2 linked regions of the Nothobranchius furzeri genome follow. The protein of the gene in region 1 interacts with the protein of each later gene in a pairwise test. Links are inferred from orthologs where the notes say so. Each region holds a gene or a part of one and is shown on either strand. Other genes may lie near its edges.

Region 1 (4,294 bases):
CGGTATTTATATATGCATCAACTGAAATCTGTCAGTTCAGTTCTTAGTCATTCAAAAGTGTTATCATCTTTAAGCCACAGTTTTGTCATGAGATAATAACATTTGATTTTTTTTCTGCTTTGAAATTAAAATTTAAAGTGAATAAAAATAATTAGCGATTGTGTTTTCATGCAGCTGTATTGTAATGATTATAACTAAATGTAGCTTATAGGGTGCCAAGCAAAAAAAAAAAAGCTAAATCTTTTTTAAAAAGTGTTTATTTTAAAGCTTTTGGATTATGCAAGGAAGATGACTTAAAGAACAGATAACAAAGCATGCAAAAATGTATTTTTAAACTCAAATATTAGACATTTTTAAGGCTGCAACATTACAAAAAGTTCATTACCTCTTTCTCTGGGGCTACATTGTTTCTTTTCCCATTCTGGTTCTTTTTGTTGTTCTTCCGTTTTTTTCCTGGTAGGTTTTTCTTAGGAGCTTGAGGTTCATCTTCACCCTTCAGGGCAGTCTGGCACACATAATGGGCATCATTCTAACAAAACAAACAGAAGACTGTGCATGCAGGCACACCTAAAAGCACCCAGTTTACCTTGAATGATGCAACTGCCTTGTCGTAGGCTTTTATCAGTGCGGTATCATCCCAAATATCCGAATCATCACTCTGAAAAAGAAGGAAATGCATTTAGAGGGTCTGCCTTACTTTGGTGCATGCTTATCCAAATATTTAGGTGGTACCTCTGTTCCTGTCACAGACCAGTGCTGTTTACAAGCTCTACTTCTAAAGCACTTCACTCAAAATACGAAGTTCTGATGCAGCTTGAGTGAATTTTGTGTGATTTATATCCTCCACCTCGACTAATAAAACCCAACAACAGCTATTGCTGTTTTGTGACCCTGTTTATCTTTGTTGTCCAACTAGCTAAACTTACCGGTGGTTTGTAGCTTAGCTTCCTAGCTTCTCGTTTTAAATAGATCTACAGGAAATAAAAAAATAGTTCGTATACTTTATCCAGTTCGACTAATAAATGTTTTAAACACACCTGCCCAGTTCCACGGGTAAATAACACGTCTCTACATCCATTCGCCATGTAGGAACACTGAAATGTGTGCCAATCGTTGTCAATTTCTGGACCCAACAATGTGCGTCGGAAGCGAGTGACTTGAAGTGACGTATATATCATGCGACAACGCTGTTGGCCTGGCAACATCTACAGCTTCACACGCCACAATAAAACAGCAGCTAAACCCAGCTTTTGATGAGTTTTTATCATTAAACCTGCTGATACGCACGTTTAGGCGTTTCCACCGCGGGACCAGATCGTTATGAGCGATTCATCTTTCAACTCTTTGGGTGTAAAAGTCGTTTTCGCTTCTTCCTGCGATGAGAATCACCCACCAGAAAACATTATGGACGGGTACTTGCTGCGCTTTGCAACACTGTTTGTCGTCTATATTCTAAATAGCATCGTATCTGATTAATTTTATTAACGTATTTTTTGTCCACATCTAGGAATACAAAAACATTTTGGACGTCCACTGGGATGTTTCCTCAAGAGTTCGTCATTCGTTTTCCTGAGCCCACGAGGGTTGCTGCGGTGACAGTGGAGAGCTACAATGGTACGAAGACCGTAGTGACAATAAATAGTACACACTGTCCAGGCTCTGTGATGAGCATAGCAACACCCTGAAGCAATGCTACTAGTTGCAAATATTTTGTTCGAAACTACCTTTTAGATTTTCCACCCACTTGTCTCACAAAACTAATTAGAGACATACTTTATACATCTCTAACACAATATAGGCTACATAAGTGTATTTGCACAGACCTGTAATCAGATGTTTATTATTCCCAGCAGCTGTGCTGATATTTAAAGGGGACACATTATGCAAAATTTCCTTTTGCATCCTTTTGTGCTGCCATGTGTGTCTCTACTGCCTCTAATCACTCCAAACTTCTTCCACAAGGACACACAAGTTCAGATGTTCAGATCGGGCCAGACAGGGAGTCAAACACAAAACAGTGTTCAGAATTTTTCTAAATAAAGATTACTTGCAGATACTCAGTAGCCTAACTAGTAGAAAAGTTTGTCACTATCTGTGAAGCCTCAGTGGAAGAAGTAAATTGATCAGAAAAGAAACCACAGACATTTTGGTTAAACACTGCCGTCTTTTCCTTTGCGTTTTGTCGCGTGTACTGCTGAAATCATGCGTGACCCTGCAGTTCTTTGGTGATTTTTTTTTTTACCTTGCGGGAACAGCTGCTTGGAATGCTTTTGCTACTGTTTCACATCGGAAATGCACCTGGTGGGAAGGGAGCTTGCGGGTAAAACACGCCTATTACATTAAAACACACCTATTACAGTACACACTAGCTTACGCATCCAGTGGAAAGATGGGGTATGAAGCCACAACATGCTTTTGTTTTATTCTGAAATCAGGTAAAAATAAATAAAATAAAAGGCAAGAGGCTAATGTTGGGCCAACAATGAATAAAAAAAATAGTCAACTCTAAAAATATCTCAAGCCACGTTTTTGAATACCAACAACTTGATATTACAGTGAAATGTATTTATTTACTTATCAGTTAACTGTGTATGGCTAGTCTTTACTTGTCATCAAGAATCTTCTGGGGCTGATCCGTCACTGGCGACAGCTAAACAGAGCAGACTCTGTTTATACAGACTGCAGTACCCAAATTTGACCACAGGATGTCATTCCCAAATTGTGACCCTTTAAGAAAAACAGTCATTTCTTTTTTAAGTAAACATAACTTAAATTAACCCTTTGATGCATAATGGTCACTACAGTGGACAGGTACTCAAAATAGTTATTTGTTTGTTTTTGCTATTAAGCACAGCTGTTGAAGACTTTATTGCATGTGAGCACCTCCATTTGTACTTCAGTAAGCCAGGCCAACATATTTCATGCTCAGAATGCACACTGTCCACTGAGGTGGACATGTAATAAATAATTTGTAAATTATAAAATTTTACGAAAAATATTAGTTGAAATTTGTTTCATTCGCACCTAAAGACGAATGAAAAAAATTGTAAAAAAAATCATGGTTGAAGATTTCATAATTCATGCATCAAAGGGTTAATCAATAAGAGACAACTTAACTTTAATGAGTAAAGTTAACCAAAAAAATGATTGATTTATTATTTTATGTTTCTATATTCCATTCATCTTTACATCAACCCTAAAGTGCGTCTGATAAACAGACTTGTATATTGTTTTATTTTAAATATTTGTGGATTTACAAGAAAAACAACCACAAACTAGCAATTTTGTTGGATTTCAGGAACAATAAACAACTGGTGGGGGAGGTGCATTGTGGGTAGTTATGTTTTCAGTTATTTAGCTCTATTTTGGGGTGTTTATGCATGTCTGTTTTGGAGGATTGTTGTTCTCAGTTATTATTTCATTCAGTGTTGCAGATGTGGTGTTACTTTTTGTATCATGTTGGCACCATAAGTGAGGAGGTTGGTCAAAGTAATGCTGTATGGCTGTGCTGTCCCATTGTTAATAATACTGTGGTTATTCACACCAGATGCTCTTGACTTGACTTTGAGTGTTCCACTTTCATTGGCTGTTAGCATTTATGGGTGTGTGAGTAATGATCTGGTGCTAGTTACTGCCTTCACCAGCCTGCCACATTGTCATTTCTAAGTAAATTCAACTCATTTGGGTTAGGGTTTATTAGGTCCATTTAGAGTTCATATAAGTTATAATATTTAAGTTAGTAAAAACATGTAATAAAGTTCAAATAAAATAAAATATGCAAGTTTAGTTAAATTAAACTTTATAAGTTGCTTAAGTACCAAGTTATAAGCTGGAGGTAGTTAAATGCTTTGATTTTATTCAGGTCATATTTTTTAAGTTATGGTAAACTTATAGTTTTTAGATAAGTTAACTTAAAAATTATTAGGTAATCAGTTTCCTCATAAATTTTGAGTTCAGTGAACTTATTCGGGGTTACAGTGTGTCCCCATTAAGAAAATCTTATTCACTGCCTCTCGTTTATCTTTAAAGCATATTTTTGTCCACCTGACTTAGTTTAGAGGTTTAGAACGGTATAATCATATTATTATAAACTGACACTCATGAGCCAAGTTCACATTTTAAACAAGTTTATTAGTTTTAGTTGAAAAAAAAACTGTGCTTTTCCAATCACATCTCTAAGATACGAGGGCTTTTAAATCAGTTTTTAATAATAAAAAAAAAAGCAACAATGAGATTTTTTTGCATTAAAAATGACATTATTATTATAAGCTAAAAATGGTAAACTTCAAATTTG
Region 2 (4,528 bases), on another chromosome or scaffold:
AGTATCACAGGTTTGAATTGTAAATGACAGATATATAACTTTTTTCACCAGTTCTTTTTTAACTAAACTTAAGCTTAGAGTAAAATCCTGCAACAGCAATGAGTTTATGTTTACAACTGAAAATACATGATTGTCTCCGATTCTGTTTTATTTTTATTATAAATAACAAAATGTGGGTCTAGGGTGTTTTTGAGGTTGAATGCTTCACACGAGAGACTCCCAGCCCCCTAAAATGTAACAGGAATGATAACTTTGAGGGATGTTGGTGGCCATGAGCTGATGTAAAAAGTTTACCTGCTGTTGCTGCCACCCCAAAAGTAGAATGATTAAAAGCTTATACAGCCTAATTAAATATTTTCGGTCTAATTCCTTATCTGTTCATTTAAACGTTAAGGTTGTTTACGATCAAACGGGCCTCACGTGGTGACTGCATCAACATCAGCTCAGCTCACAGAAACAAATAAGAATATCTATCTATAACGTGTGATACACAGTAATAGCAGTTTCTGGATCAACAAAAACATGAAGTGATTTCCAGACTTTGACACAGGCCTGTTTAATCCACAGAAAGCGATTCGACAACTCTAGCTGGTTTATTTATCTGTGTTGTTGCTTTGAGTGGTTTCTTACCCAAGACACTATGCGGAGAATGGTCTGAGGCTGCTGGAGGAAGGTGACAGGGTCGAAGGCTCCTCCAGCTTTCCCCGCTCCGTATGCCTGCATCCCCTCCATTGTCCTCCTCCTCTCTGGGCGGCCGCCTCTGAGATCCCCTTCTCCTTCCCCGCTTCAGCTTCAAAGGCACAGTGTGTGTGCGCGTGTGTGTGAGGGTATGTAGAGCACCGGATAACCGAAAGACGCACAAATCTCTGGTCCTACCACTCTGACCGCTGTCTCAGTGACTCTGCACCCAGGCTCCCTGACGCGCCACCTCTCCCCTTTTTTCTTGCTTGTAGTAAATTTAACCTCTGTGTCCCTCTGCACGGAGGTGCGCGGTGGTGTTTTGATGACGTTTCTCCCCTTCTGTAAGCTCCTAGAGCCCGTGGCAACCACGAGAACGCGCTTCCGCTCGGACAGTGCGTGTTTTATCTTTGGGAGCGCATCCTCGATAAAAACATCCAATACGCATGGCGCACGCGCCTGTGCTCACGGTGTCGCACAGAGGTAGTCACGTGCCTTAAATTGATTTAATCAAAGCGCGTCCCTGTTAGGAAGAAAAAAAATCAGAAAATTAAATTTTTTAAAACAATTACGACCCAGTTAAATAAAGAAGAAAATCTGAGTTTTTGCATTGAAAACGCTTCCAAATACTTTATTCTGAAACGTATGTTTTGTACCCTCTAGCGGTTATATCTCATAACGCTTGAAATTTTATTTATATTACGTTTTTACATACATGCAGTTTTTCAGTATTTACAAGTATGTGTCATGATTAGTGTTAAGAAAAACATTTAAAATGTCCTATTTACTTATCTCCGTCGGATCGAATGAGCCATGCCTGACAGATCTTGCTCGGGGGCGAAGTTCTCCAACATATCAAACAGCCAATGAAAGCGTTACGTATACACTGCGTACACCAATAAGACGCTACTTTAGATGGTTGCTAGGAAACGATTTGTGTCCGAGTTGCTGCGTTGAACAGTATTTAGAAGATTAGCAGTAAAAGTCAATATTATCCAGATTATTGAATTAAGTGCATATTTTACTCATCGCGTCACGAAGGCTTGCGCTGCAATGGGGAAATTGAGGGCAAGGTGTCTGCTTGTCGGTAAGGTTTCCTATGTTTGGCTAACGTTTGCTAGGCTAACGCTAACCAGTCGAGATTTAAGCTATCGGTTAGCTTCAAATGTAAAATAACAAAACACTCTCTAGTCTTTGATACTTAGCTAACCTCCATTTATATACGAGCCTTTTAGGGAATAATTTACCAGATTCAGTATTTCTCATTAGCGTTCAACAATGCAACACCAGACACATCACAACAAATCTTGTTTATCTTCAAGATGAAGCATAAATATATTGATAATATAAACTACAGCGCTTAAATAAATATAATGAGCAAGTTTTCATTTATTTAAACGAGTTCTTCCTTGATGTTTTTTTTTAAATGAGGAAACTGCAGATGCAAAAAGATCATAAACTTCTGTTTTCTACTGTTTTTATTCCTGTTCATGCAGGAGATGCAGCCGTGGGGAAAAGTTCTCTGTCCCATATATTCTACAGCGGTGGATCTCTCTTTCAGAAGAACTATAACATGGTGAGATGATCTGTTTTTAAAATATTGATGCTCAAACACTGCTGTCTAATCTAAAGCAGCTATTTAGTAAAAATAGTAACATGATGTTTATTTACTTGAAAGTATTTCTGCAGTTTTTGTGATGAATTTAGAAATTGCATTTTTCTTTTCCCCTATCACTTGTTTTATTCATGTCGATTCAATTAAGTCACTAGTTTAAAATATCAGAAATAATGTGATTTGTGTGTTATGAAACACAGCAGCATTCATTCCTTGTTATTAAATCATTGCTTAAGATAAAAGCTAGCACAATTTTCAAAGAATCGGAAACCCTCACATTTTCAGAGAAACCTTACAAGCTTTTTACAACTTGTTTGGATCTTTTGTACTAGGACTTACTGAAGTGCAAAACAGCATGATGTACCAACTAACACTGATGTGGAAAAGTAATCTGCATTATTTATGCCTATCTTCATGTGAGAATGAGTCGTGTCATTAACCTAACTCTGTCATGAATGGATGTCACTGCTGTTCATCGTTTCTTTCAGCCAATGTTCAAAGGGATTTAGGTTAAATGCGCACACATACACTGCAAATGCAGGTACTGGTGACTTGAATTATAGTTACGTATTTTGCATGCTTCACTTTACCACTAAGCCCTGTGAGTCATTAAAGTACTGAACAGAAAAATACCGGATTATAGCCATGTGTGTGTGTGTGTGTGTGTGTGTGTGTGTGTGTGTGTGTGTGTGTGTGTGTGTGTGTGTGTGTGTGTGTGTGTGTGTTTGCTCTGGTCTTGCTGCCTCAGCAGTATCAGGGTTCCGAGGTGACAGGGGTGTCGATAATTAATACAGCAGGATTCTGGAAAGTCACTAGAACAGCTACTTAACAAGCAAACACACAGAGCCCCAAACAACACAGTTTCTCAATACTGTACCTGTTTGTTTGTGATGTTGTGAAAAAGTTAATACAAAAGGAAAAGTATAACCAAATAAATAAATACAATTTGTGCAGGAAAAGCACATTTCCTGCATGTTTTAGATCATGAACACAGCTGAGCTTATTAATTTAGTGATGAACCTCTTTTGTAGACACTAAGGAAGGCTGGGGAGATGTTTCAGCTTTCAGATTAAGGTGTTTGTTTTTGGATGGACCCACAGTGAGGAGATAGGTTTTGCTTTCGGTTCTACAAACGGACACTAGAGAGTGCTAAAAGCACGCTTAAACGGCCTAATCTCCCGTTAGGTTTCACTGAGAAAAGTATGTAAGTTGTTTTTCATCAAATACGGTTGGTCACACTGAGTTGAATAAATGCATGCTGAACGTAAAAATAGTCTCCAGTCCCTATTTTCTACATTAGTCACTGAAAAAAAACAGACGTCAGTGCTTGGGTCAGAACAAGCCACACAGATCTAAGTCACACTGCAAAATTAGCATTTAAGGACTTATCAACCTTGGCTTGTGACCGCAGTCGGCTGTGTTGATAAAGCAGCCATAAGACCGCAGAGTGTGTACCGGCTAATAGAAACTATCCATTAGCAATAGCAATTCTGTTTGTATTGATGCACTTTTTTTCGCACACAATGACGAATATTGTCGAAGAAATCATATTTATGTCAAATTGAACTGCTAAAACATTGATTTACTTTCTTTCTTTAGTCTTCCTCATCCAACCCCATAAATCCCTGTGTGTCCTCCTCCTACAGCGCTCCCGAAGGACAACAGACATCAATAGCAACACAAAAAAAGTCTGGCGTGTTGTGTAAAAACTGTTATTTTTAGGATGCTTATAGGTACGACGTGTTGCTACCAGACGTACGGTGTGAGCACTCGAGTCACATCCGAGAACTGGGTCGTACAGTGTGAGCACATGACTCGTGAGATTTGCTCTTCGAGGAAGTCGTACAGTTTGAGCTGAAGCTGAACGCTACGAGTGAAACAGTCGCACAGTGTCCGCCCGGCTTTAGCCAGTCAGAGTCAAGTTGGCTGAATGTAATAAATATTAATGAGTAAGATTCCAACCCAAATCAGTCTGCTCAGCTGGGACATTGTTAAATTGACTAAACCATTTTGCAGTGGCTGGTGTTGTTTCATGTTATCAAGCCAATCTGCTGAGCTGCTGATTCACAGCTACAATTAGCACAGGAACCATAGGCTAGTTTGACTAATTAGTAGTACCCAGTACATCAACTGCAAACAGATATTTTCATGAAAAAAAATCTTAACAAAAAAAAAGTATTTTCTGCTATTGAAAATGTGTAAACGATGACCGTACCCAGCTAGTATCAAGCAGCT

Evidence for each region.
Region 2: the proteins of hspb11 (region 1) and ift27 interact in binary tests that used the Homo sapiens proteins (3 or more experiments, as listed by UniProt). The two-hybrid records come from large-scale screens. The link is inferred for Nothobranchius furzeri from reciprocal best matches to the Homo sapiens genes IFT25 and IFT27.

Annotation. Positions count from the first base shown.
Region 1 is NC_091757.1:41,300,393-41,304,686, reverse strand, and holds the start of hspb11 (intraflagellar transport protein 25 homolog), read left to right. Parts: upstream 1-1,191; 5' UTR 1,192-1,320; coding exon 1,321-1,412; intron 1,413-1,507; coding exon 1,508-1,614; intron 1,615-4,294. Other genes in the region: smn1 (survival motor neuron protein 1), read right to left, coding at 386-505, 587-658, 1,038-1,178. UniProt on the Homo sapiens protein: Component of the IFT complex B required for sonic hedgehog/SHH signaling.
Region 2 is NC_091746.1:76,148,307-76,152,834, reverse strand, and holds the start of ift27 (intraflagellar transport protein 27 homolog), read left to right. Parts: upstream 1-1,601; 5' UTR 1,602-1,731; coding exon 1,732-1,765; intron 1,766-2,174; coding exon 2,175-2,254; intron 2,255-4,528. Other genes in the region: synaptogyrin-1, read right to left, coding at 631-732. UniProt on the Homo sapiens protein: Small GTPase-like component of the intraflagellar transport (IFT) complex B that promotes the exit of the BBSome complex from cilia via its interaction with ARL6. Not involved in entry of the BBSome complex into cilium. Prevents aggregation of GTP-free ARL6.